Linked DNA regions of Notamacropus eugenii. The protein of the gene in region 3 interacts with the protein of the main gene of each other region in a biochemical or structural test. Links are inferred from orthologs where the notes say so. Each region holds a gene or a part of one and is shown on either strand. Other genes may lie near its edges.

What was found.
Region 1: of the proteins of ATM (region 3) and RPA2, one has a biochemical effect on the other in vitro, tested with the Homo sapiens proteins (3 studies listed by BioGRID). The link is inferred for Notamacropus eugenii from reciprocal best matches to the Homo sapiens genes ATM and RPA2.
Region 2: of the proteins of ATM (region 3) and EIF4EBP1, one has a biochemical effect on the other in vitro, tested with the Homo sapiens proteins (2 studies listed by BioGRID, with this or other methods). The link is inferred for Notamacropus eugenii from reciprocal best matches to the Homo sapiens genes ATM and EIF4EBP1.
Region 4: the proteins of ATM (region 3) and SMC1A form a complex in vitro, tested with the Homo sapiens proteins (2 studies listed by BioGRID and IntAct, with this or other methods). The link is inferred for Notamacropus eugenii from reciprocal best matches to the Homo sapiens genes ATM and SMC1A.

What each region holds. Positions count from the first base shown.
Region 1 is NC_092876.1:69,021,205-69,028,654, forward strand, and holds the start of RPA2 (replication protein A 32 kDa subunit), read right to left. Parts: upstream 3,001-7,450; 5' UTR 2,908-3,000; intron 2,801-2,907; 5' UTR 2,470-2,800; coding exon 2,460-2,469; intron 1,647-2,459; coding exon 1,540-1,646; intron 96-1,539; coding exon 1-95. UniProt on the Homo sapiens protein: As part of the heterotrimeric replication protein A complex (RPA/RP-A), binds and stabilizes single-stranded DNA intermediates that form during DNA replication or upon DNA stress.
Region 2 is NC_092872.1:622,944,893-622,951,902, forward strand, and holds the start of EIF4EBP1 (eukaryotic translation initiation factor 4E-binding protein 1), read right to left. Parts: upstream 3,021-7,010; 5' UTR 2,926-3,020; coding exon 2,781-2,925; intron 1-2,780. UniProt on the Homo sapiens protein: Repressor of translation initiation that regulates EIF4E activity by preventing its assembly into the eIF4F complex: hypophosphorylated form competes with EIF4G1/EIF4G3 and strongly binds to EIF4E, leading to repress translation.
Region 3 is NC_092876.1:146,774,880-146,782,033, forward strand, and holds the start of ATM (serine-protein kinase ATM), read right to left. Parts: upstream 3,008-7,154; 5' UTR 2,857-3,007; exon of another isoform or gene 2,748-2,856; intron 1-2,747.
Region 4 is NC_092874.1:178,917,637-178,924,639, reverse strand, and holds the start of SMC1A (structural maintenance of chromosomes protein 1A), read left to right. Parts: upstream 1-3,998; 5' UTR 3,999-4,744; coding exon 4,745-7,003. Other genes in the region: inositol 1,4,5-trisphosphate-gated calcium channel ITPR2, read right to left, coding at 2,356-2,549. UniProt on the Homo sapiens protein: Involved in chromosome cohesion during cell cycle and in DNA repair. Central component of cohesin complex. The cohesin complex is required for the cohesion of sister chromatids after DNA replication.

The DNA.
Region 1 (7,450 bases), about 78 Mb from region 3:
ATCTCAATGTCCCCAATCTTAAATACTTCATCAATCAGGGTGGCAGAAAGAAGCTGTGATATGGTGCAAGGGACAATGTGCTGGGCTCGTGTTCTCTGTAAAGAGAAAGCACCTGTCAGTCTCCCTCGTACCACCACAGGGATCTCAAAGAAAAACTGAACCAGTTGGATACTAAGACTCAATAGTAAAAACAAAAATGAAACAGAGTAGATAAAGCTGAAGTTCTCCTCCGTCAATGAGAGAAAACAGATTCAGAAGGCAGCTGAACTAAATGGGAGGTTCTCCTTGGAAAGGCAAATGAAAGAATCCACAGAGTTGGTTTCATTGTGTGAGCAATAACAAGAAACATTTCAATGAACATATTATGTCACCTTCCTGTGTTTATCACGATGAGCTGAAGCAGAGACCCCTGTGAAGGAAACGGCAGCTCACGGGGCAACATTTATTGCAGAGAACGAAGAAGTAGAAAGTTATATAAAGAACCTGACAAGCACCGGCAAACCAAGTTTATGTCTATTTTGATAACTGGCATCTTCAATATAAAGCTGGGTTCTGAGGAGGCTGGAAAATGTAGTTCAGGTTTAACACACAAAAAAAGCCAAAAGCATGTTAACCACCCAGAAGTCTCTCAACCAGAAGTCATGAATACTTTTTCCAAGTAGACACTCAAAGACAATGGATCTGATAAACAATATGACAAAAGAAGTCAAACTACCTTTACAATAAACTGGATACTGAAATAGGGAATACATCAGAATCAGCTGTCTATGTGTAATCTAATCAGCAGCTAGTTTTAGAAAAAGTCAAGATCTACAATCCAACCATTCCAAAGCACAAAAGTCTCAAAGGCATGGAGCTGGAAGATGGAGCCTTGAATGTGAGGAAGAGCAAATTACTTGGGAAAAGATTCATTAGCTGTTGCGTTAAATTTTAAAGTGAAACCATATTGCTGGAGAGCCCTCGGAAGTAGAGGTAAAAGAGAAAGGGATGGGATGTATTCCTCATCTTGAGACAGTCCTTTGGGTAGATTTCAGAAGTGATTCCATGGGAGTTGTGGCTACTGTTGAGGATTTCTATGAGCCAGGGCTCACCCCACCACTTGGATCCCCTTTCCCTTCTGTGGTCCTCAGGATAAAGGGGAGGTTCCAATTAACTACACTCACTTCCAGTACCTAATCAGGAAGCCCTTTCCTACTTGCTAAAGTCAGAAAAATCACAATTTTATTTCTACTGTCTATGCTGATCAACTGAATGTTCTGTTCATTTTCCTTTTTCTGTTTTTATTGTTTCTCTATGATGCTAATTAATAAGCTAAAAAATGAAACCACAGAAACCAATACAAAATAAAGAAAGCCTGGATAAACATTTATTAAGCTTATCTCCACATCCTTTCTGGCCCGGCCCAGCCCAGCCCCTAGACATCTGATATGTCAATCCTGTTTAGACTTAAAATACCCCAAATGGGTATTCTTTTCTAAGCAAGGAGTCACGTTAGGAAGAAGTAAACGAAACAGTAGCAAGTGTTCATTTTCAACTTACTGATTTCTTTTCAGCCTGAGAAGCGGTAGGAGTGCCAAATCCCCCTGGGGGCTGCGTGTAGCCTCCACTTACGTAGGAAGTGTTCCCATAGCCTCCATCAAACCCACCTGGAGGGCAAAGACGTCGGAGGGGTCAAGAATCCTCCACCCCGTAAAGAGCACCCCGCCCCCACCCCCACTTAGGGCCAGGTCTCTCCCCACTCCCTTCCTGAGTCCACCCCCCCAAGATCCCCAGCCCCAGCTCAGGGCCGGGTCTCTCCCCCCTCCCTTCCTGAGTCCACCCCCCCAAGATCCCCAGCCCCAGCTCAGGGCCGGGTCTCTCTCCCCCTCCCTTCCTGAGTCCACCCCCCCCAAGATCCCCAGCCCCAGCTCAGGGCCGGGTCTCTCTCCCCCTCCCTTCCTGAGTCCACCCACCCCCAGCTCAGGGCCGGGTCTCTCCCCACTCCCTTCCTGAGTCCACCCCCCCCCCAAGATCCCCAGCCCCAGCTCAGGGCCGGGTCTCTCCCCCCTCCCTTCCTGAGTCCACCCCCCCAAGATCCCCAGCCCCAGCTCAGGGCCGGGTCTCTCTCCCCCTCCCTTCCTGAGTCCACCCCCCCCAAGATTCCCAGCCCCAGCTCAGGGCCGGGTCTCTCTCCCCCCTCCCTTCTGGGGTCCCGCCCCCCCCCCGACACCTATCCCCAGATGCGTGGCGAGCCCCGCCCGGTCCCCCGCTTAGCACCCCATCTCCAGACCCCTCCAGGACCCCTCTCCCCAGCTGCCCCCGCCCCACATTGCTGCCACACCGCTCTCCGCCGCTGCCCCCACCTCAGCACCCCCATCCTCCGGACCTGGCCGAGCCTCTCTCTCCACCACTTTGCACATTTCCCTTTTCCCCTCCTGCGCCCCGTCCCCTAAAAGCCCCTCGCCCAGCTCCTCCATTACTATTCCACATGTTGACCGCAGCGCCCCGAGGGCCGTAGCGGGGCCGGGGTCCACAAAGTCCACTCCGAACCGGGGAATCCCGCAGTGTCCCCACCTAGGAGAAACCTGACTCTATTTGGCGCCACAAACACTCTCCCGCGAACGGCTGCGCCAATCAACTCGCTGGCTGCTTTCCCTTCCGCCCCTTTCAGCCAATCAACGCCGACGATACTCCAGGTTTACCCAATGGGCTTGGGCAATGCTAGAGAGGCGTGCGCACGCTTCGGACGCGCGAGAGAAACGTGAAGTCTCTGCGTCCATCTTTGGTACGGCCAGGAACCCGTTCGAGCTAGAAACGCAGGCTAGAGAAACATCCCCGGAAAGCGACCAATGAAAAAGTAGGATCTTACCTCTGTGTGGTCCCGCCCCTCGGAGGTGACGTCATCTCCCCCTCTAGTAACTTTCTCACCTCTAGGGTCGCGAAGTCTCGTGGCTGATTGAGAAGGGCGCAAGCGCGGACGGTTTGGTCCGGCTTAACGTCCGGTCGGCGCTCTCTGGACCCAGGCGCAGCTTGTTCTCCTCATCCGCCACCGGAAACGGGCTTCGAGGTCACCGAGTCCGACCCTGCCTCCTCGCACTCTCTTTTACAGTGGAAGAAAGTGAGTCCTGGCGAGGGGGCGTGAGCACCCCCGGCCACACCGCGAGCTCCCCCGGCCACACCGCGAGCACCCCCGGCCACACCGCGAGCACCCCCCCGGCCACACCGCGAGCACCCCCGGCCACACCGCGAGCTCCCCCGGCCACACCGCGAGCTCCCCCCCGGCCACACCGCGAGCTCCCCCGGCCACACCGCGAGCTCCCCCCCGGCCACACCGCGAGCTCCCCCGGCCACACCGCGAGCTCCCCCGGCCACACCGCGAGCTCCCCCGGCCACACCGCGAGCACCCCCCCGGCCACACCGCGAGCACCCCCCGGCCACACCGCGAGCTCCCCCGGCCACACCGCGAGCTCCCCGGGCCACACCGCGAGCTCCCCGGCCACACCGCGAGCTCCCCGGCCCGGGCCTCCCCGCGATGGGGCCGGGGTCCGAGGGCGCCCTGCCGCCTTGCCCCTCCGCAGGCGCTGTTATCACCGCTCGGAGGGCGGGCGGAGCAGCCAGTGTCCACCCAAGCGCACTTAATCCCGGCCGTTACCGGCCAGGTGCTGCAGCCAAGTAACCGATAAGCACTCATTAACCGACTTGTGTGTGCCTGGCACGGTGCTAGGCAGCGGAGACCCAAGGACGCGGCAGGGAAGGAAGGTCCTTGCCCTCAGGGAGCTCGCCATCTCACGGGGAGACGAGGGGTGGACAGCTGCGTGCAGAGGGTAGGTGGGAGGTGTGGGTGTTTGTCCCGTCAGACTTGTGTCCGTCCTCCCGTCTCCCTTGATGACGGGACTTGCCCCTGACTTTGATGTCAGGGAGCGAGGGCCATGCGAGGTCACCGGCCTCACTTTCTCCTCCTGGGCCACCTGGCTCCATGACCAGATATTCATCGGGGTGGCTGGAGATGGCCCAGGAGGCAGTGGGAGACCTTGGTCTCCTTAGGCTGGCCTTTTCAGGTACTCACTGAAAGGGAGGTAATGCCCGTTTAGGGAATAGGCCTCTTTAAAACGTGAGTCAAGGGATGGCCCCTTTAATAATAAAAAAAATCAAACTTTCACAGGGAAGGCCCTTGGCAACAAGGGGCACTGGAAAAGCTTTCTTGTAAGCAGGTAGGACTTGAAAGGAGAGGATTCCAGGCATGCGGTACAGCCACTTAAAAGGCATGGAGTGAAAAACTAAACCTGCCCAGAAGGAGCTTATGTTCCATTGAGGGCCAACAATGTTTAAGTAGAACAACATACAGAACAAATTCAAGATGACTTGAATTGGGTGGGGGTGGAGATCAAGAAGGTCTTTCTGTAGGAAATAGCTCTAGGGTCAAGCTTTGAGGGAGACGGAGGTATGGTCCAGGAATAGGGAGAGTCTGGGCAAAGATGGGAAGTGCTGTCAGTATATTCTGACTGGAAGGTACATGTGAAGGGGAACAATGTGTAGTAAATCTGGAATGGCAGACTAGAGCCAAATTGTTAAGGCTTTAAATGCAGTTTCGTTACATTAATTAATAAGGAAAGTTCACAGAATCTCAGGAGTTAGAAAAGATCTTAGATCTAGTCCAACCCATAACTGACCAGGAATCCTCTTCAGCAATGGAAACAAGTGGTCAGTTCTCCAGACCCTGCTTGAAGAACTCCTGTGGGAGAGCTTACTGCTTTATGAGGTAACTTTCACTTATATTGAGCCTCAGTATGTCTTTCTGCAACTTCTATTGGTTGTTAGCATTCTGAAACTAAATAACAAGACTAATCACATAGGACAAATATTTAGAAAGATAGATGAAGCACTTGCTGTGTGGTAAGCTCTATGTTGAACACTGCTAAGGGCTGTAAATCCAAATTCAGACAAAAAGACAGTCCCTACATTTACATGCTAATGGTGGAGCAGCTGTAGGGAGGGAAATGTCTGATTTTCCCTCAAGAGGAAAACCATCATGATGGCCTCAGAACCATCAGGCTAAATCTTATAACTACCTTTATCATTAGCACATTGACAAAGTCTTTTAGGGGGCAATCCCGCCTGGTACAGAGGCATCAGCACATAAGGAAAAGAGAGAAATGAGAGTGTTGGCAAAGTCCTTTGTCAGGTTCAGGCAGTTCACTAGAAATTCTTGATGTAGATGAAAAAGGTCCAATTCGTATTGCAGCCCCACCCCCCCTTTGTGGAATTCTTTCAGCCTACTTTTGGAATTCTCAGATGTAGGAGGTAACAGACATTTCTAGAATAAGCCACGTGCTCATGGGAGTCTGAAGGGACTCTTCCTTCCAGATCTGCTTCTCAGGTTCTAAGAGCCTGTAGGAAGACTTGATACCAACTCAATACAATTTAATACTGACAAGGTTTTGGGGGTGCTGGGACCCCAAGAATGTCCAGGCAGAGTTGCCTGGAATGAATTCACACACTCAAGTCTTCTCTTAGTCAAATGGCAAAAAGTTTATTGTAATACTGTGGCAAAAGCAGGCAAAGGAACGTGTAAGAGAATTAGGATGGTGCCAGGGCTTATACAGAAAAGGGGTGTGGGAAAGGAATGTCAGGAATGTTAATTAGGTAATCTAGGGGTCCAAGTGTCTTTGGGAGCTATGGATGGGAAAGTATAGGGAATACCAGACATTGAGGGAGTTTTCAAAGGCATGGACCTTAAGGGTCTGGTTCCAAGAGAGTTCTTGGGCCAATTAGAGACAAAAATCCTTGAGCAAGGCTCCTCTCTGTTCTGGTAAGAGAATGTGTTCTTCAACGAGAAAATTTTCTCACAGGACAGGGGCCTACTGAGAAATTGAAAGGCTTCCAGATAATGATCTTAGGGCTGGGGCCTGAGGACACCATCAATACAACCTTCTGGCTCAGGCTTTATGATTCTGACTTTATTAATAGAGCTATAAGAAGAGTATCAAAATAACTCACCTGAAACATCAGAGAATTTCAGTTGTTATATCATGAGGTCCTGAATTGGAAAATGAGTTTTTCTTTCTAAAGTGAGTCTTTCTCTTAAATTTATCAGATTGATTTTTCAAATAGGAAAATAATTTCACCTTCACAATTATCAATGCAGTTTTTCATGTAAAATAAATGCAATTTTGAAAATTGTCACATTTCCTAATTCATCCCTTATGAGAATATATAGGAGTATATTCCTACATTATATATATGAATAAAACTACAATCCACTCCAAATGTTCATATGGGTTATTTGTGTCTGACCTGTAGTAGCTTGTATTGGTCTGATCAGCCACAGTCAGATATATTGTACTTCGACTCCAACGTAGTGATGTTATTTTGCTCTTCTTTGAGAACAAAGGGCAACAACCAGTTATTCCTGTATTACATACACAAACAAAACTACAAGCTAGAGGAAAATCAAGGAAGATATTTCATATTTATATTCTATTAAGGTAACTCAAATGGTTCAGTATTAGTAATTGTGTGTTCTAAATCCATTTTATAAGCTGAAGTGCTTTAATTGGCACACACACTTCCCATTTTTCAAGCCCTTATTATAGAAATTTGCTATGAAAGGAAAGGAGAGACTTGGTTGTGATGATACAGAGAAGCCACAACAAGGGAACCCTTAGCTCTGTTTTTATTCCAGACAAAACAGCCAATTCAAATTCCACATTATTCACAGAGTATCAAAGCCAGGTTCAAATTATCTAGGTGGGAAAATTTCCCTTTGAAAAAGTAAGTAGCTTGATGGGAAACCAAGTCAAGATGATCTTACCTTCACCTTCACCAGGTGGTCTCCCCAGAGCAAACATCCACCCTCAAAAGTTCTCAGCTCACAGCACATGGCAGTCTCTTGAATAATGGGTTATTGACTTTGTGCTTACAAGTATACCTGATATAAAAAACTCAGAACTAGATCAAATTCAAGTCCCAAAAGATTTACCTTAAATAGCAAAACTTCATGAAGCAGATGATAGGATCATTGTGTTAATGTGCTAATCACCATCAACAGTGATGGTTAAAAATCCTACAGTATCTATTAAGAGATAGTTTCATGTAAGCAGTCTAGTTGTTGGAGGGGACATGTCTATCACAGTCAGCAATAGGTTTTAATGTTTAGATACAGAAATCCCCCTTGAGATAATAGAACTCCCCTGTTGGTCTGCCGTGGAGATGGCATAAAGGGAGGGTAGGTACATCTAGCTACTTTAGGTGAGTTTTAGAGCACAGCTTGCCAATACAAGCATGTAGATGTTAAAATGGGGTGTAAGCGGGAGGGGATCACTACAAGAAATTACTGGAATGGCAAGTTGGTTAAAAGTTGGATAAGTTCACAAATATAATGAATTCTTCATAGTCTACTGAAACACACCCCGCCCCCCCCAAAACTGTGGGTACTGTAAGTTGCGAATCATAAGAATATTTAAATTACAGC
Region 2 (7,010 bases), on a different chromosome or scaffold from region 3:
GTCTCCCTGGCTTCCTTCAAGACTCAGCTTGGGTTTCCCTTCTCTCTCCAGCCATTGGTACCCCCCCAGTTCCTCAATATCTTAGAGCATTTAGAATTTAAGTTCCCTGAGGGCAGGGCAGTTTCGGCCTTTCTCCTACTCCCCAGTGTCCAGTACTTAACAAATGTTTGTCAACCTAAGGGAGGAAGAAGCTAACTGGGGGGCCCCATGCATGAATTTCTTCACTGTCCAAAGGAACGCAGGAAGAGGAAGTAACAGCTGATCTCCCATTTTCTCCTAGGCTACAAGTGAAGGTCAACCCGGTTAGACCTGGACCAGTATTTCTCACATGGACTGTTGTGCCTCTTCTCATGAAGCCGCACCCCCCCACATCCCCCAACAACTCTGCCGATCCATTCAGAGGAGCTCACCACATCGGTGCCTGACCTTATTCAGACATGACTGGCTTTGTTGTTCTTGTTTAGTTAATCAGTCATGACTCTTTGTGACCCCATTTGGGGTTCTCCTGGCAAAGATACTTGAGTGGTTTGTCGTTTCTTCTCTAGTTCATTTTACCAATGAGGAAATAGAGGCAAACAGGGTTAAGTGACTTACCCAGGGTCACACAGTTAATAAATGTCTGATGCCAGATTTAAACTCAGGAAGATGAATATTCCTCTCTCCAGGCCTGGCACTCTATCTACTATACCATCTAGCTAACTGAACTAAAACAGTAAAGAATCTTAAGTCCATGTCCTAGAAAGACCAACTGAAAGAACTGGGGATGTTTTTCTGTGAAGCCTTGGGAGGGTGGGGGTAGGGTCATAGGGATGACAAAATAGCTTAATCCACTGGAGCTCATGAAGCGCAGGGATTACAGGTATGCATGCGACACACCATCTGGCATAAAATCCCTTTTAACAGGCTGATGTTTCTCATTAAATCTCAGGGCAGTTGGCTTCATCCAAGCAAAGGCCAATGCCCGGTCCCCCATAGGTAGTCACATCCAAAGGAGCTGAATTCAAAAGTCTCAGGGATGTCCCTACAGTCAATCACATGGGGTCATGGACTGAGGGAAGGTAGGAAACAACCATTTATTAGGTGCTTACTTAGGCACTGTATTGAGTTTTGAGATACAAATACAAGCAAAACCAAGGACACATCTCTGCTTCAAGGGGCTTAGATTTTAATAAGGAAAGATGACACACAGAAAAAAAGCTGAAAGGCTGGAAAGAACAGCTAATCCAACACCGTCATCTTAAAAATGAGGAAACAAAATAAAAGTTCTTCAAAAAAGAGGGTCAATACAAGTCACTGAGATGTGTGGCAAAGGGAACAGCTTTTCCAAAACTAAGTGGAAGGAAAGAAAATTTGTCTAGTGTGTCTTCAGTCCCCAGGTGGAAAGGAATGAGCGCTGGTCTTGGAACTGGAAGGCAAGGGGGTTCAGTCTAGTGTTAATGAATTTCAGTTGGAAGTGACCTAAAGGCCAATATGGTCTGAGACTCGGAGCTTCAGGTTTCTTATCTGTTAAAGGAGAGGTAACAATCTACTAACCTCAGAATGTGGTGGTAAGAGAAATACTTTGTTAAGTGCTAAAACGCTATATGATGGCATTCTTTTCATGAAATCTGGATAGAACAAAGGGATTTTTCATCTGACCATAGGAACTCACTTTTAACCCAGGGTCTCAGTTCTCAAACTTGTAAAAATAAAGAAGTCGGATACACATCATCTCCAAGATTTCTTCCCCGTTCTAACATCTCAGGATTCCGTGTTCGGGCTCGGGCCTTACTGGGTGCCCAACTTGGGCTGAACGCTAACGTGGAAGGGACTGGCAGCTGCAAGTCTCTGCCTGAGAAAATAAGCATGTGGCCCCCGAAGGGGCAGGCCAGCATTCACAAGCCCTGACCTTCCTCAGTCCTTCCTCCAGTCTGGGGCCGGGAATCAGAAATGGGACCTTTTGCCCCGACTCGAAGCGGAGAAATTGCTGGGGTTCTGGCTTTTTGTTTCTTCCCCGGGGTACTGATTGGAGAGAGAGGCGAAAGCCTGGCAAGGGGCAAAAGGAGACGGGGGCAGGAGATCGGAGGGGGGGGGAATTATGCAAACTGGAGCGCGGGTTTCATCAGCTCCTCCGGACACGACTCCCTGGGGCTGCGTGGGAACGCTGCGTGGACCGGAGGAACCCGAAGCTGCCCCCACCCCCTCCTTCCCGACCGTGTGCCAGGCTCAACTTCCTTCTAGGCCACTCCGGACTGTTACTGGCAAGTCAAACGGACGCTCCCCTCGGGCGCCTCCCGGACCTTCCTCTTTCCTCGCCTCCCCTCCAACCGAGCCTGCCGCTTTTTAAAGCCCACCCCTAAAGCGCCCCGGGGGAGCGATTTCGGGTGAAGGAAGGATTGGCAGTGCCCGGCTCCGGGCTGTCCTCCTAGGGGTGCCCGCGCGGACATCGCCCCGGCGTGCCACTACCCCGGGACGGGCGAGGGGCCAGAACGGCGCCAGGACTCGAGCTGGGGAAGAGTTCTTTGTCTCTTCGGTCCGCCGGGGGCCGGGACGCGGAGACCGTGCGGCGGGGGAGGTAAAGCGGGGGCAGAGGTCTCGCGGAAGGCGCCCCCTCCTCCAAAGGCGAGCGCCCGAGCATCCAGGGCTCTCCACGTGCCGTCAGGCCGGCCTTCCACTCGGCCCCTCTCCGGGTCCTCCCCGCCATCCCAGTCCTGGCCCGCCTCGGCTCCCCCCCTCCCGCTGTGCCCCCCGCCCCGGTGTGCCCTCCGCGTACCCCCAGCCCGGCGCGCCCCCCACCGTACCTCCGGGGGTGGTGCTGAAGAGCGTGCCTCCCGGGGTGGTGCTGTAATCCCCGGGCGGCAGCGGCGCGCCGTCGCTCAGCACCACCCGACGGGTGGCCGGGATGGCCCGGCTCGGCGTCTGGCCACAGCTCCCGCCCGCAGACATGGCCTCGGCCTGGCTGCAGCCGCGGACCCCGGGGGCAGCGGTCCCCGCTTCGCGCCCACGCCCCGTTCCGCCCCCAGACCGCCCCTTCCGCCGCCGCAGCTTGGCAGCCCCTCGGGACTTGTAGTCCTCACCCCCCGCCCCCATCCCGAAGCCCTGGATGCCCCGGCTGTCCAGGGAGGTGGCGGCCCCTGGGATCCCCGCGCCGCGCCTCGGGGCGGCAGCCACACCGTGGGGACCGTGGCGGCAGGGAGGGGGACTGCCAGCCTGAAGCTTCCCCGACGTGGGCTCCGCGCGCCCCCGCAGCTCCGGGGAGGGGGGGGGATCGAGCTCTGGGTGGGAGCCCGCCGCGCGGCAACTACTGGCCCAGGCTCCCCCCGGACCCTACAGGGGGCCCCCGGCGGGGGTGGGAAGAACGCTTCTCCCCTCTCCAATTTCCTGCTTTTGAAAGCGCGTGTTAATAGCCTCCAGTGCTAAGCTCCCCAGGGCAGACGCGGGTCCAGAGCAAACGCTTTAGAGCAGCATTCTGAGGACTGCATTTCCCACAATGCTTTGGGCCAGGAGACCCTCGCTCATGGGGTGGTGCTGAAAAATCTCCGTGGACTACATCTCCCAGAAGGCTGTGGGCGAGTACACCACCCTCCTGCTCTCTGATTGGTCGGCCTTGTTTACAACCCGCATGGTTAAAAAAAGTGGGTGAAGGGGTTGGTTCGTGGATGGTGTTGCGAGTGTCACTCCTGTCAGTGCACATTCCAGTAACAGAGAACGTACAGACAAGTGGAAGCTTGTTTGGGTATGGGTTCAGGAGATGGTGTCTGAGATCTCTTCCAGCTCCAGATTCTGTGATTCTGACATTAGCAATGCTATTAATTTCTTACTCAGTTTCCTCTTCTGTGCAGTGGGGATAATAATAGCCCCAAATACCAAATGAGAGATCTGCAAATCCCTTTTCCAGGGTTCTACAGACTGCAAAATGCTGCTTATTGCTGTCACCCCCATCCCGTTTTACAGACGAGGAAGCTGAGGCTAAGAAGTTAAGTGACTCGCCCAGGGTCACGCAGCCAGAGTCTCAGGCAGAATTTGAACTCGCGCCTTCCTGACTAAGTCCGCCCTTCTCTTGACTGCAGCACCTCGTTTCTCCTTAGCTAGCTGGGATGCTGGAAGTTTCTGCCTTGGAGAGGGTAGGAGGGAGCAGAAGGGCTGAAGCCCCGGCTGGTCTTATCAGAGGGCATGAACCTTGAAGAAATGGTTTGGATTGTGTAGAGCTGAGGAGAAACTGAAAATGCACCTTCATCAATCCCACCAAATGCTTAATTTGGGGAGTTTTAGCTCCCAGCCTTCTAGGAGAACGTAGGAGTAGATATAAGTTACTAGGTCCTGTTTTGAATCTCTGTCAGTGGGTGCTAGTGAGAATATTTTTGTGTTTAGAACTGTGTCTGTGTGTCTGTGTGTGTGTAAGAAATAAAAAGCTTTTCAATTGCTGATTAGCTTATTTGTTCCAGTATACATTGAATACTTGTCTGTTCTCCTCTTTGGGAATATCTTAGACATGAGTCAAACCCAGACCTTTAAGAATTCTTCTCAGAGTGCTAAGACAAGAAGGAACCAAAAAGAACTAAAAATAAAACTGACCTTTCTTTTAAATGTCATGCTTCACCAGAACTGAACCCAGGGTTTCGATCCAGAAGAGCCGGGGCCCCTTGATGGAGAGGAGAGAGAGCAGTTCTCCAGACTCTTGGGTCCAACTGTGGTTTTAACTGTTAGATTGATATCACACCTCAGTCTTCCTCTCTGAGACTTCTACCTATTAGACGTTGTTCTGCTGCTAGGACTAAGAAAGGCAAATTTAATCCGTCTTCCAAATGCTATCCCTACACATACTCCATAACAGCTTTCCTTTCTAGGATAAATATGCCTGATACCTTCTTAATAATATGATAGGTGTCTTTCTCCGATTGTTCTCCAGCAGGTTAATATTCTTTCTCAACTGTGTTATCAGAACTGAGCTTAATACTCAGATTTCATCTGACCAAGGCAGAGTATTAGAAAGGCAGCATACTAAGCCTTGAAGTTAGAAAAACCTGGCTTCAAGTACCACTCTCAGTCTGCACCAGAGTTTGTTTTCCAATGAGTAAATAATAAATGGACCTTACATCTATGACATTTAATATTTGACAAAGTGTCTTACTTTAAGGAGGGCAATTTGTTGAATCAATCAGTCTGCCTACTCCACAATAACTAATATGATGTGATCTACCTTGATATTTATTAGTAAGAATACATCTGTTGAATCTAAGGCATTCAATTGGGTGAGAAAAGTCTTTAGTTAATTTGCAAGAAACAAAATGTTTCTAGTTATTGCATGAAATGAAGTGGTGCTACATAGGAAGTATATTGGGGTGTATAGGAAGTATCTGTCACATCCTGTGGGTTAGATAGAAATATTGAGCTAGTTTGAAAGTGGGCATTCCAGTGTTAGGTCAGCTTAGTGTGGGAAGCAGTCCCAGACAAGTCCCATCTCTGAAAGCTAATGAAGCCTGACTGGCTAATTTATATCAGTTGATAATCATTATTGGGGCGTGCTGGTGGGGGCCTGTGAACCAAAGTATTGGAAAACCCCCAACTCCCAAGGGTTATACCTAAGAACCCTAAGGAGAAGTAGCTAGATGACTTTCACAGCCTCACCCTCCCAGTACAAATGGGAGGTTGGAGTAGTGAATGCAGGGCTTGTGTTACACATAGATATAACTCATTCGTTTCTTTACAACAATCCTATGATATAGAAAGGGCAGGTGGTCTTATTCCAATTTACTGGTAAGGTAAACTAAGGACCTAAAGAGGTTAAGCAGTAAGGTCACATGGTTATTACAGATTGTATGACCTTAATTAAGCAAGTCAGTTTACTTCTGAATCTCAGTTTCACCATTTGCAAAACGATAGATTTGTATGAAATGATCTCTAGGGTCCCTTCCAGTTTTGAAAGTCTAGGATTCTATGAAGTAGAAGATGATTCACTTCCGTTCCCCCTGCCCCCACCTCCCAGCCCCAGTCCTACTTAGGCTAGGTAGGGTTGGATCTTTGAGGAACAGTTCAACTGAAAAGGCTTTTTTAATTTACTGGGGGTGGTAGGGTGGAACTTAATGAAGATTTTAAAATATGTATTGCGTATAAGACACTGTATTAAGCACAGGGGATACAAACTTGAAATCAATCAATCAATCAGCACTTATTAAGTGCTTACTGTGTGCCGGACACTGAAAATGACATAGTCCCCTCCATCAAGGAATCCACATTCTATCATATAAAGTTTCCTGTTTCCCAGTCACAGAAATAGCTCCAAGAGATTAGGAAGGAAGGAGATTATCTAAATGAGGGCCCAGAGAAATGATTGAGGATATATATGTGGAATTGGTTTGGCTGATATCTGTTCCCAAACATTAAGCAATAACCTAGCCAGGGAGGAGGATAGCTGGTAGAACTGAGCTTCAGTCTCTTTTTCTACCAAGGGTGCCCCTTTCTACAAAGGGGAGGGTCCCCTTAGTTCCTTGCCTGAGGGCCTTCTACCTCATCTTCAGCCTTAGGTACTGAATGAGACATGTATCAGGACTAAAGGAAATAGACTGTGTAGTTTTAAGATCTATAGAAAAGAAAAGGAGCAGAACACACTGACTTATTTTCACACCAAAGCATTTATTAACTGCCCAACATGAGTATTTCAACACAAATTTGTTTTGCTTGAACACATTTTTGTTAAAAGGAAAGGTTTTCTTGGTGTTAGAGGAGGGTTTTAGTGGTAATGATGTAAAAAAATGTTGAGAGAAAAGAAGACAACACTAGGAAAACATCTAAAAATGCACAGAAGAAACCAAAGAGGGATTTTGAGGGGAACATAGACAAACAAGGCAATGCCTTTTTTTACTACCAGGGGTCTCAAACCCTTCAATGAGGTAGGGAGATATGTAACCCAAGCATTCAAAGACTTCCTCATCAGAATGGGCTGATGAGAACAATTTGTTCCAGTGGCCACTAAAGTGGCTGAAGTAGGCAGAGGAGGGCTTCCAGCTTGGTTATCAAAGCCCTGTGGCCAC
Region 3 (7,154 bases):
CTGACTTCCTTATACTTTTTTGGCCCTGTTACACATTACTACTTTTCTAGCATTCTACACTCCATCTCCTGTCCTCATCTCTTTGCCCTGGCTGAACTCCAAGCCTTGCATTCACTCCTTTTTCATCTCTAGCTCAGAATCCCTTATTTCATTCAAAACTCCACCGAGGCACCAATTTCTACATGAAGCTTTTCCTGATTTCCCTCCTCCAACTACCACCTTGTATTTATTTTGTATATGTTTACTTACATGTAGATATGTTTACGTAGTATTTCTCACAGAATATAAGCTCTTTGAGGGTAGAGTGTGTTTCAATTATGTCTTTGCATTCTCAGTATAGTCTAGCCCCAGTGTCTGGCACACAGAAGGAGATTAATAAATACTGATTGATGAACCATTTGCAAATCACACTCCCCCCAATCTCAAGTTTTCTCATTGATAAAATGAGGATAACACTTGCACTACCTACGTTACAAGATTGTTTCCAGGTCTACAAAGTCCTTTCCTTATAGAAGTACATGAATGTGTTATTATAAAAAAAAAAAATTAATATCCTACATGTAACAGCTTTTCCAATATTTTAAAAGGTCCATAAAGTCCTACCTATTATTTTTCAGGAAAACCCTTCCCATTCTTTTTACCTATTTCCTCTTAAAATAAAAAACTGAAATCTGAAGAAATGAATTAAAATAATGGGCCCACCACTAAATAGTTATGTGACTTCTGAACTTCAGTTCCCCATACATAAAATGGGGATAATGATCATTTCATTATCTAGATCAAAAGGTCTTGGGAAAAGTTTAGTAAATCTTTAAATGTTAGTTATTTATGATTCATATTGAGTAAGCCCAAAGTCCAAGGATAATCACCTCTGATTTGCATAGAAAGCCACAGTCACAAGGGACCCCTGGCTCCTGCCCTGGGGTCTTATTGATTAATGAGAGGTCATTACATCAGGCTCACCCCAGTCACTCCACCAAGACAACTTTTTGCCCAAGTGATTGCATAGGACACTCCCCCTCACTACTACCTTCCTGCCCTCCTCCCCTTCCCCACCCCCTCTCTCCCCTATTTCCACTTCTAGCTCTGGGAAAAGTAAACCTAACAGAACTACCATTATAACTACTTCTGCAAAATCAATTGCCCTAAGGCTCTACTCCCCTTTGACTTTACTCTTTCCTGGCTGCCACCCTATATGTGAGGATTCCCTCATTAGAACATAAGCTCCAAGAGGACAGGGTCTGTCTCCCTTTTGCATCTGATTCCCATGGATTAGCATACAGCTTGGCACATAAGGAGTTTAATGAATGTATTTTCATTTATTCACTGAAAAGTAGAGCTGAACTTCCTAAGAATTTTGGCTTAAAATTCTAGAAGACTAACAATACACCAAAAAATGAGCAAACATAACATCTAGGTATCTTGGTATAAAAACTTAACACTTGTTAACCCTGACTAAATGAACAGTCATGGCAGCTTTGTTAACTCTTAAAAACAAAACTAGAGAGCTCACACAGGTTAACCACAGTTAATGCTAAAAATAAAGTAAAATAAAACCGAAGAGCTAACAGTGGTTATAAGCAAATTGTTTTCCTTACTCTGTTGGAGATTTCCTGTTGGAGGAGGAAACTAGACATACATGTGGCAGGGTCCCCTCTATTAGGGGACACTCCCCCCTTCATGTGGACAAATCTCAATACAAACGACCAATGGCTTCGCAGTAAGCTGTAGCCCTAACAATGGAGAGGTAACAGCAATGAGATAAATTTGATTCGCAGCAGGTCTGTTCAAAAAAATAAAAAGCTTTTATGCCAAGTTCAGGGCACAACTTGCTTGTTGAGCCCTACCTCTGGAAAACAGGTTGTCTCCTAATAGTAAAAAGAGAGAGGATCCTGACATACTCCAATGGGCATAGAAGGCCATGAAGTGGATAGAGTACGGAGCCTTTAATCTGCAAGATCTGAGTTCAAATCCAGCTGCATTACGCTCCGAAAGTCACTTAGCCTGGGGGCCTCAACTTTCTCACCTGTAAAACGGGGACGCCAATAGCGCCTCCCGGGATGGTCGTGAGTCAGATATGATCACCGTAAAGCCCTTAGCACACGCCTGGCACGTGGTGTTCTACAAACGTTCGCTGCCATTACTAACCCCGGTCTAGCCGTAGACAAAGCGCTTAACCTCCCCAGGTTTCCATGATCCCATCTAAGGTTCCTTCACAGCCGGACTCTTACGGATCGTGACTGGCAACTGCTTAACTCCCTGTAATTAATACTCGGTATTTCGGAAAGTGCCCCTCCCTCACTTCCCGGAGAGAGGAGGAGGAGGAGGTACCCAAGGTAACGGGTCACATGGGGGGCACCCGCTTCAGCCAGGTAGACCAGGTGTCCAGGATTCCACGGTTGTTCCAGCTCGGTGCTGAATGGTATGGGCAGGTGGGGGAAGCAAAGACAAACAGAAGCCACCCAGAGTCAAGAGAGGAGGATGGGGAAAAGAGAGATTGAAATGCCGGCGCTCGCCTTCAGGGCTGCAGGGGAAAGGGGAAGAGCGGAAGGGGTGATGCGCCTCCCTCCCCGCCCCCTCCCTGGGGATTTAAAGCGCTCCGCCCCGGGGTCCAGGCCCGGGGAAGTGGGGTATCCCCGGGCGGTGGTGGCCGGAGCGGACAAGGGGAAAGGGCGCCCAGATCCGCGAATGCCGAAGCAGAATCCCAAAGCCCACGGAAGCGGGACGCGCTCTCCCTCGCCCCCTACCGCAGGGCTCCGAAGGCCGCAGCCTCCAGAGGGAAGGCCGTCTGGGTCCTCTCTCCTCCTTCCAGCCTGTTCTCCCCACAGGCAGACCGCTCACAAGCTCCACACTCACGCGACAGCTCTCACTTCCGGGTTTAAACAACCCTCAGTGCGCAGGCTCCTTCCATGGCGGGAGAATCCGGGGAGATCGTAGCCTTCGTGGCTCCCTCTGCGCAAGCGTACCACTAATCCTCTCCTTTCCCCGCCCCTTTCTCCTAGGCAGCGGTACGCTAATAGGGCGCGACGTTTTAATAGAATGACCATTCTCCCTCAAGCCCCTTATTAAGATGCGCTGCGCAGGCGTGTAACCACCCAAGCTCCATTTCCTGCCCCGCCTTCCTCATTCCTGAGCGGAAATGATGTTCCTGTCAGTCAGGGTTGGGGCGGGGCGCGTTTCCGCGCCTTTCTTTCTTCCTAGGAGCGATTGGCTACAGAGGACCCAGGGGGCGGGACGAGTTGCCTCGGGTTCGGTGCAGCAGCTGACGCCGCCGCAGGGACCGAGAGATGCGGTCTCGGTGTTGCTACGCGGAAGGTTTTTGAGACGTGCCTGGGGTCTCAGAGTCCTTCTAGAGGCCTGATCATGCTGTTACCGTCCGACGTCGCCCGGCTAGTGTTGGGTGAGTGGAGCCTCGGGGCGAGCCGAGCTGGTCTGCGGCTCTGCGGCTTACCTTTGGGGAGGTGGGGTGGGCGGAGGAGACTGCCTCCCAGCCCAACCGGCGACCGGCTTCTCCTTAGCCCTGGGGGCGAAGGCAGCCCCAGGCCCCTTGGGTCGAGTAGCGCGGCTCCCCTGCCACGGGTGCCCGAGGAAGCAGACGCTCATCCCGACGGGAGGCGAGGCGGGAAGGTGAGGGCTCGGCCTCGGGGAGGACCCTGACGTGGGGGAGGAGATGGCTCTTCCCTGCCTGCCCTCAGTTATCCGCGTCAGGGCCGGGGCTGGGCGGCCTTGGAGCGGGGCGAGCACAGGCCAGGGCCTCCTGGGGGGAGCGCCTCCTGGGGGGAGCGCCTGCCGAGTCCTCAACGTCGCGTTCCGAGCCGCGGGCTTGGGAGCCCCTTCGGGAGGCTTTGGGCCGGCTCGGGCCCACGGCCTCTCGGGCGCTGCTCCACGTTTTAGAGGCACCACCGTTATATTTTTGCAGTTTTCTGGCGAGGAGAAAAGGCAGATTGGGCCTTCGTTTCCAGCCCTCCATTTGGATGACTCGGTTCCTTCCATTGTCCAGCTTGTGTTGCCGTGGTGGGGTGGGCCATTCCAGTTTGGTGGCTCAGTTTGTGTGTGTGTGTGTGTGTGTGTGTTTATATTCTCTGAAAATGTATCCACAGTTGTGTTGCTAAGGCTTGAGCCGCATATATTTTCAGAATCTGGGCCTGTGACAGAGACTTGACATATTTTTAAACTGGTTTTTAAACTAATATTGTATGGGGTTTTTGATAAGATGCGGTGTTTTCGGGGCATTTTCACTGGCTGCCCTTCATACCTGGAATTCTCTCCCTCATCTCTGCCTCCCGACTTCCTTTGAGACCTGGCGAAAAATCTCACTTCCTTTAATGCCTGTTCTTTGTTGGTTATGTCCAGTTCGTCCTGTATATAGGTCGTTGCACATTGGTATTTGCATGTTTTCTTTTTATAGATGTTCTAGATGCCTCTGTAGTAATCCTTCCTTGAATTTTGCCAAACTGAAGCTTACTGGTCTACGCTTTGAAAACATACCTTTTTGAACGTTATGACAGTATTTGTGCTCCATTCCTGTGGCACCTTCCTTTTCTCTATAATCTTTCAGAGATCCTGACAATGTCTCAGGTATCATAGCTACTGCTTTTAGTATCATAGGAAATAGTTTATCTGGACCAAGTGACTTAAACTCAAGTAGGGTAGCTAGGTGCTTTCTTAGTACTTCCCTATTCATCCTACTTCTGCTAAAAAAAGAAAAAACAACTGGAGAGATGCAAGGTAGACAGTGATACAGTTGGGTGATTGAGAATTGCTGAAATGTCCATAGTCAGAGTAATCTTTATTGGTTTGAGGTCTTCTTGGAAGTCCTTGGTAGGGTGTCCCTGGGATCTGTCCTTTGTTCTTCTTTGCTCATGTAAAAGTTTTTGTCGGTGACTTGGATGAGGTCTTTGATAGCATGCTTATCAGAGTTTCAGATAATACAAAGCTGGGAGGGATAGCTAACTCTTTGGATAACAGAATAAAGACCCCAGAATCCTGATAACCTTGGCCAACTCTAATGAAATGAAATTGACTAGGGTAAATGTAAATAAACTCTTTACTTATCTCAAAAAAAATCACTTTCACCCATGCAAAATGCAGGGGGCATGATTAGGCCAAATTTGGCCTGAAAAAGAGCTGAGATTTTAGTGAACTATGAGCTCAATATGTATCTATTGTGTGATAAAGGCACCAAAAAAAGTTAATGTGATCTTGGGTCAACATGGATATGCATAGCTTTCAGGAATACTTTCCCTACTCATACCACATCTAGAGTAATGTCTTTGATTATGAGGGCCAGAGTTCAGAAGGGACACTGATGAATTGAAGAGTGTCCAAAGAATGATGATGACCAGGATAGTGAAGGGACTTGAGTCCGTGCCATATAGAGATCAGTTTAGGTGAATTAGGAGATGAGAGGTTTAGAACACAATTCTCTTTGTGTCCAAGCAGCAGAATTAAGAACAGTGGGCAGAAATTGCAAAGTGGCACATTTAGACTTGATACCAGGTGGGAAAACTTATTAACAATTATAGTTTTCTCTGAAAATGATGGGTTCCCTGTCATTGAATGTCTTTAAACAGACTGGACAACCATTTGTTGAACGTATTGTAGCAAGGATTCCTTTTTAGATACAGATTAAAATAGTGACTGCTGAGGTCCCGTCAAACTCTAAAATCCTATGATTTGTTGAATGTATTGGGAGCCTTCAAAATCTCTGTAGCAGGGTGGAGGGCAGGTCTTGCTCTCCCAGTCTCACCCAGCCTGGAAGTGCAGCAGCTAGCTACTCATGGGCCCAGTCCTACCACAGATCAGCACAAGAGTTTAGACTCGTTCTGTTTCCAACCTGGGTCATTTCACCTCTCCATTGGCATTCTGCTTCCCTGTAAGGATCCATTTTGGTGTTGTACTTAGTAAGGACAACTGATCAGTCTTAGCACACCGTAACTCAGAACTCATGAATTTAAGCAATCTACTAACTTCAGCCTCCTCAGTAGCAGACAGGCACCACCACTCCTAGCTAGATCTCTTGAAATTGTGTGGGTACTAATGGAGCATACATGCTGTCCTTCAATTATCTTGTTCCTCTTGCCCTATGGGTGAATGACCCGTATTCTCTTTTAGCCATACTTTTTATGCTTTTCTTTCTGTGCATTTCTTCTTTGATAATATGTTGCAGACTTATTTTCACTCACCATTAAATTGTCCACTGCATAGTCATCCACAGCTTTGTCAACTAGGAACAGAAGAATAAAAATGAGAAAATATCAATAAGTATTTTGGCTTACTGTGTGCCAATCACTATATCCAGACATTGGGGATGCAAGTACAAAGAATGAAACATTCCTTACCTGTCCCTACTCTGAATCAGATTACATTCTAATGGGACACGCTGTGTGTGTGTGTGTGGAGGGGGGAAGAGGACAAAGACCGAGAGAGGGAGAACACTTAAGTGCGAAGATATAAAATGAATAAATGAATATATCCAAAGTAGTTTGGGAAGGAGGACGCTGGCTATTGGGAGGAAATGCTTCATACAGAAGATGGTGCTTGAGCCACATCTTAAAGGAAGACACTGCTAGTATAAAGGCAGGGAGATGAGACCATTTGTGAGGAAGGGGTCTGTTTGACTTATTTGCAAAGTGTGAGAGGAATTGTAATTTCCACTGAAACTGGAAAAACAAGTTGTGGCCAATGTGTATGAGGCTTTAAAAGCTAAACAGGTTTATATTTGATCCTAGAGACTCTAAAAAGCCACTAGATTTGATCGAGGAGTCACACAGTCAAATCTGCTTCAGGAAAATTAATTTGGCAGTAGTGTGTGGAGTGGAGAAAGACTAGAGGCAGGAGAACACTTAAGCAACAAGAGATGATGAAGGCTTGAATAAGTTAGTGCCTGTGTGAGTGGAGAGAAGGGATGAGATTGGAGTGCTATTGCAAAGGTAGAAATAGCAAGATTTGGCTACTGCTTGAGTATGTAGGGTGAGAAAGAGCGAATGAGGAGTTCAAAACAATGTTAAGATTACAAACCTCAGAAATTGAAAGGAAAGATGCTTTCCACAGAAACTGGGAAACTTTCCTAATGAGTTGAGTTTTAGATTCCATGTTGATTTTGAGATGTCTCTGGGCCAGTTGGTTTGAAATATCAAATAAACAATATGTGG
Region 4 (7,003 bases), on a different chromosome or scaffold from region 3:
TCCAGTTATCTTCCACTGTAGTATCAAAGCACACCTGTTTGGTGAAACTTTCCAGATGAAGACACTGAGTTATTCTGCTTCAAGTGGTAATGATGTCATATTGTCACCTAATAACATAGATTTCTCCTTGAGGAACTATGATGATAATCAAATCCCTCATTCAGGCACAAAAAAGGCATGACTTTCAGCTATAACAGGTACAAAAGATCTGTATGTACTCCCAAGTTTTGATGCCAGATATATCTATGATTCACCCTGGGAGTCAGGACCTATGTTAATAGCCTAAATGGAGCAGTTTGCTGTCAGGTACATGTAATATAGCATTAAAAGTATCCGATAAGAACAAGATTTGATGAATGTAACTAGGATTTTTTTTCATTTTTTCTACTTTAGTATTATGCAAAAGATCTATTTTTAAACTGATCCATTGACTGTAGACATCAATCAACAAGTATTTATTAAGGATAATATGATTATCAGTTTAGAGCTGGAAAAGACATTTAAAGACATTTGAAGCAACTGAGGACCAGAAAAAAAAATAAAAGATCTGTCCAAGATTACACATTACGATAGAGGCAGGACTCACACTCAAGACGAAAAACACAAACAAAAGCAACTTAAAGAGAAAAAACAGTGCCATGGGTACAAGGCTTAAGGAGAAACACAGTGAGAGGCCTTCGAACACAAGCATGCCCCTTAAAAAGACAAACTAACCAAAGGCAGAGGGGCTGCAAGGTATTGCTGTCCATTGGTTCATATATAAATGATTGCTTTCAAAGTTTAAATGATATACAGCTGCTTCTGTTACTTAATATTTGCATGAGCAAATCACTCAACCTCTCTGTTTCCTCATACGTAAAATGAGGGAGTTGGACTAGATGCCAGTTCTATATCTATGATCTATAAATTAGAAATCAAAGAACTATCTGGAGACCAAGAAGAAATTGTATGTTATCTGTTTGTGCCCTATCTGATAGAACTGTTTCTCAACCTGTGTTAGGGATCAAACACTACTCACAAGATGTCCTGATCTGAGGAAATAGTATTTATCAGTTAACCATCAAGTAATGTGGCAGGCATTGTTCTAGTCACAAGTATAAATGCAAGTACAAAGAAAATAACAACCCTTTCTCTAAAAGACCTTACATTTCAATGAGGGATACAGGAAATATATATAAAAATACAAACAGAGTCAGGGTCTGGGGGCCACCCAAGCCCCAACTAACAGTTACCATCCCAAAAAAGCAACTTCTGAAAAGATGTAACCTGGCAACTGCTTCTTCAGGGGTTAAAGTCATTGCCTCCTCAAAAGGCAACATCTATTGAAGACTCAGTAAAGAAAGTCACTGTCCATGAGCTTAAAGTTAAAAACAAATGTGATTTTATCAGTGAAAATGACTATTAAAGAAGATGCTTCACTATCTGCTTTGCTGCTATCCCCTAACGGTCATGGAATCTTTTCATTTGACTTGCACCAGATAGATATGTGATGCATCCCCCTATTAGAATGTGAGTAGACACAGAAACCCTGAGAAGAGATACTGTCTCCACCCTTCTATTTGTATGCTTTAAACATAGTAAATTCTTAATAAATGCTTATTCATACAGTATAAATCTAAAACTGATAAATGCAAATATATACAAAGTAGTTAAATATAATAGAGTCAGAGAGGGAGGGTACTAGCAACTGGAGGAATCAGGATAGGTTTCACCCAAAAGAGGGTGTTTGAGCAGTGTCTTAAAGAAGAATGGGATTCTATGAAGCAGAAGTAATAAGGGAGTACAGACCAGCCAGTATAAAGGCATGAAGTCAGGAGACAGAGTTTCATGTGTAAGGGAAAAAAAATAAAAGTCCAGTTGGCTGTATTGCAAAATGCAGGAGGGAGAATAATGTCCAGTGAGGTCAGATGTGTTAGCTACCCTCCCAGTTTTACATTATCTACATCAATAAATAAAATCAAATGCTGTCAGACATAAATTATTATTATAGACTTAGAGTTGTCATGGGCTTTCCTTGCCATCAAATAACTCTTGAATTAAAAAATAATAATAATAATAAAGTGTGTCATATCTTAAATAAAAAGGAACTGACATAATATTGAATAAAAGTTAATGCCATTATGAGACATACCATATTCACAACAAATAAAATAAACTATATATGAGCATTTTTTATATGAACTTACATGTAACAGGTGGCAAGTTTAGGGCAAATGTGAGGAAGAAAGGGGAAATGGCAATGAGAATAGCTCTTAGTGTTTTACAATTAACAATGGTTTTCTTATTCTCTATGATCATCAGACCAACCTAAGTTGAGAGGGGTATTTGCTAGGTTGTTTTTATCAAATTCTTTACCTGTAAAATTTCAATTATTTTTAATTTTGTGTCCATAACAGTGATGTCCTCATTATCAGTTGTACTTGCTTGCTTGATTGGATGGGTGCTAGGCTGTACATCAGGGACAGACATTGGAAAGATAGATCCCCTACTGAGGACCATTTGGGTCATCATCTCTCCAACACCATGGATAGTTCGCATAACATTATTTCCTAGAAGAAGAAAAGCACATAAGCAAGCACATATAGTACACAAAGAGTTATAACATCCATCAGGTAAATATACATTTAAATGTATGACAAGAATATTAAATGTCATTAATAATCATATTTTTATGTGTGTATGTATATATATATATATATATATATATACAGTATGTGTGTGTGTGTATACAAATGTGCTGGCAAAAACTGATATTCCAATAACAACTCAAAAATCCAGGTAAATATTTTATTAGCAAATTCATTTTTTTCCAAGAAGCATTTTAAATAGAATACTAAAGTTGTCTGTTATAGATAGTTCTGATGACATTCAAATGAGGTCCTCATGAAATAAAATTTTACCCATAGTCCAAGATTAATGGGAAATTATGATTTCTGATCCTATCCTCAAGCAAAGGTTCTATTTTGCTTCTCTTTGCAAAAAACAAAAGTTATACTAATTATTGTCTATTTCAATGACTTTTGGTTTTAAGAAAAAATATACTATTTGAATTGAAAACTACTATTCCAAATTCACAAAACAGCAATTGTGTTCAGAGTAATTACTGGAACAAGTTAGTGACAAATATGATAATATTCAATTGAGGGCTCACTTCCCATTTATTTCTTTCTTCTGTGTATGGTTCCACACTGGTATATTTGTTGGAAAAAGACAAAAATCCCACCGAGTGCCAACAATTTATTCAGTTCCAACAATTCACATGTACTTCTCTATTCTAGAGCTCCTGAGGTAAGCAAGTTTGTTTCAAATAAATGATTATGTTTTCTTTGTAGTAATCTTAGAGTAAATAGGTCAAGGAGTCGGGCTCTGGGCAAACATAAAGGATCCCCCTGTTTTGGTGAATTATTCTTTGCCTAAGTAATTCAGGGGAATAAACCAAGAAGAAAATGGAAATACTGCAGCATGTAATGGAACACTCTTTTCAAAGCGATAAAAAGAGTGGAAACATTCAAAAGATGGAAAAGTGAAGAGAATGAAAATAATTTCCAGAAGCATTAAGTGAATCTTGATGGTTTCTTCCAGACTCTCACGATCATAGGTTTCAAAACTAAAAACTTGGCGGCCACTACGCCCGTTAACAGTTGGTAAAAATGAATCCATTCTGTTACACCTTTCGAGAAACAATGTATCTGCAGAAGGGCAGCATTCCAAAGAAACATTTCAAAGAATCCATAAGCAAGCCTGGGGGATCACTGTGACAGACCCGGGACAAAGGAGGGGTTTGGAGAGAGAGGCTGGAGGCAGAGTGAACACACCAATAATAAAGATCCGCCGACAGAATGAATGCCTGGTGGGCAGTGGAATCCTACAGCCCCCGACCCCAGCCCACCCCCAGCACACCCCCACCCCCACCCCGCGCTTTACAGGAGATGTTGGCCGGGGGGGGGGGGGGGGGGGGCGATGAAGCTCAGGCAGAGGCAGACAGACACAGACAGACACACACACACACACACAGACACACGTAAAAACAGAGACGGAGAGCAAACGGAGAAAAAAAGGTCTCTGGTTGGCAGAGGAAAGTGGCGGGAGAGGGGAGGAAGGAGAAAGCGCGCCAAAGAGAGAGAAAGCCGTCAGTCTCACGGCGGGAAGAAACTGGACGGGTAAGCGGAGAGCAAGGGGAGAAGCCAGGGCGTAGGTGGGGCTAAGAGCCACTGCAGGCTTCCCACCCCTTCCGCGGGCCCGCCAGTGTGCACATGCGCATTAGGTACACAAGGCGGGAGCAAGAGAGCTGGATGACGACAAAGGGGGAGGGGTCGTCCCTTCCGCTTCAATCGGTTCATCTGCGCAGGCGCAGAAAGCGGGCAAGTCCTGAGGACGCTGGGAGCGGGCGGGGTTGTCTTCCCCCGGCACTTCCTGGGATTACGAGCATATCAAGCGCACCAGGCCGACTAAGAGCAAGAAATACAGAGAGAACTGGCTTCACCCTGCTCGTCGGGGGCACGCAGGAGGCAGGCGAGTACTGGAATCGGGGGGTTTAACTGGAGTCCCGCCTTTCTTCCTGCAAGCGCGCGCACACGTATGCGCAGAAGCGCGCGCGATCCCGCGCACGGCGCGTCTCGCGAGACTTGACTAGAGCCCGGGATCCCGCTGTTTGTGTTTGTTCCCGGACCCCCCATTGCCCCGGGCCTGCCTCCCTGTCCCCGCCCCCGCGCTCTCCGGTGCTGCAGCCCCGCATTGCATCGCCATGGGGTTTCTAAAACTGATCGAAATCGAGAATTTCAAGTCATACAAGGGCAAGCAGATCATCGGGCCCTTTCGTAGGTTCACAGCCATTATCGGGCCTAATGGCTCAGGGAAGTCAAACCTTATGGACGCTATCAGTTTTGTGCTGGGCGAGAAGACCAGCAATTTGCGCGTTAAGACTTTGCGGGATCTGATCCACGGGGCTCCCGTGGGCAAGCCAGCCGCCAACCGTGCAGCGGTCAGCATGGTGTATTCTGAGGACAGCGGTGAGGACCGCACCTTTGCCCGGATAATTGTGGGGGGCTCTTCAGAGTACAAAATCAATAACAAAGTGGTCCAGCTGCTTGAATACAGCCAAGAGCTGGAGAAACTGGGCATCCTCATCAAAGCTCGGAACTTCCTCGTGTTCCAGGGTGCTGTGGAGTCTATTGCCATGAAGAACCCCAAGGAGCGGACAGCCTTGTTTGAAGAGATCAGCCGCTCTGGGGAACTGGCCCAGGAGTATGATAAGCGGAAGAAGGAGATGGTCAAGGCTGAGGAAGATACCCAGTTCAATTACCACCGGAAGAAAAATATTGCGGCTGAGCGCAAAGAAGCCAAGCAAGAGAAAGAGGAGGCTGACCGCTACCAGAGGCTGAAAGATGAGGTCGTTCGTGCGCAGGTGCAGCTACAGCTATTCAAACTGTATCACAATGAGATGGAGATTGAGAAACTAAATAAGGAACTGACTTCCAAGAACAAGGAGATTGACAAGGAGAAGAAGCGCATGGACAAGGTGGAAGAAGAACTAAAAGACAAAAAGAAAGAACTAGGCAAAATGATGCGTGAGCAGCAGCAGATTGAAAAGGAGATAAAGGAGAAAGACTCAGAGCTTAATCAGAAGCGGCCCCAGTACATCAAGGCCAAGGAGAATACTTCACACAAAATTAAAAAGCTGGAAGCTGCCAAAAAGTCTCTGCAGAATGCCCAGAAACAGTACAAGAAGAGAAAGGGTGATATGGATGAACTAGAAAAGGAAATGGTGTCAGTGGAGAAGGCAAGGCAAGAGTTTGAAGATCGCATGGAGGAAGAGAGTCAGAGCCAGGGTCGGGACTTGACTCTGGAGGAGAACCAAGTGAAAAAATACCACCGGCTGAAGGAGGAGGCAAGCAAGAGAGCTGCCACCCTGGCCCAGGAGCTGGAGAAGTTCAACCGGGACCAGAAGGCTGACCAGGACCGGCTGGACTTAGAGGAGCGAAAGAAAGTTGAGACAGAGGCCAAGATCAAGCAGAAACTTCGAGAAATTGAAGAGAATCAGAAGCGAATTGAGAAGCTGGAAGAATACATCACCACCAGCAAGCAGTCTCTGGAGGAACAGAAAAAACTAGAGGGGGAACTCACTGAGGAAGTTAAACTTGCCAAACAGCGCATTGATGAAATCAACAAAGAGCTGAATCAGGTGATGGAGCAGCTTGGTGATGCCCGCATAGACCGACAGGAAAGTAGCCGGCAGCAACGCAAGGCAGAGATAATGGAAAGCATCAAACGCCTCTATCCTGGTTCCGTGTATGGCCGTCTCATTGATCTGTGCCAGCCAACACAGAAGAAGTATCAGATTGCTGTGACTAAGGTGCTGGGCAAAAATATGGATGCCATCATTGTGGATTCTGAGAAAACTGGCCGGGACTGTATCCAGTACATAAAGGAACAGCGTGGAGAGCCTGAGACCTTCTTACCACTTGACTACCTAGAAGTGAAACCAACAGATGAGAAGCTTCGAGAACTGAAGGGGGCCAAGCTGGTGATTGATGTGATTCGCTATGAACCACCACACATCAAGAAGGCCCTCCAGTATGCCTGTGGCAATGCTCTCGTATGTGATAATGTTGAAGATGCCCGGCGCATTGCATTTGGTGGCCACCAGAGACACAAGACGGTGGCACTAGATGGAACACTTTTCCAGAAGTCCGGTGTCATCTCTGGAGGGGCAAGTGACCTCAAAGCCAAGGCCCGCCGCTGGGATGAGAAAGCAGTTGACAAACTGAAGGAAAAGAAAGAACGTCTGACAGAGGAGCTGAAGGAACAGATGAAGGCCAAGCGGAAGGAGGCTGAGCTGAGGCAGGTGCAGTCTCAGGCTCATGGCTTGCAGATGAGGCTCAAATACTCCCAGAGTGACCTGGAACAGACAAAGACCCGGCACCTTGCACTCAATCTACAGGAAAAGTCCAAGTTGGAGAGTGAGCTGGCTAACTTTGGCCCACGTATCAATGACATCAAGAGG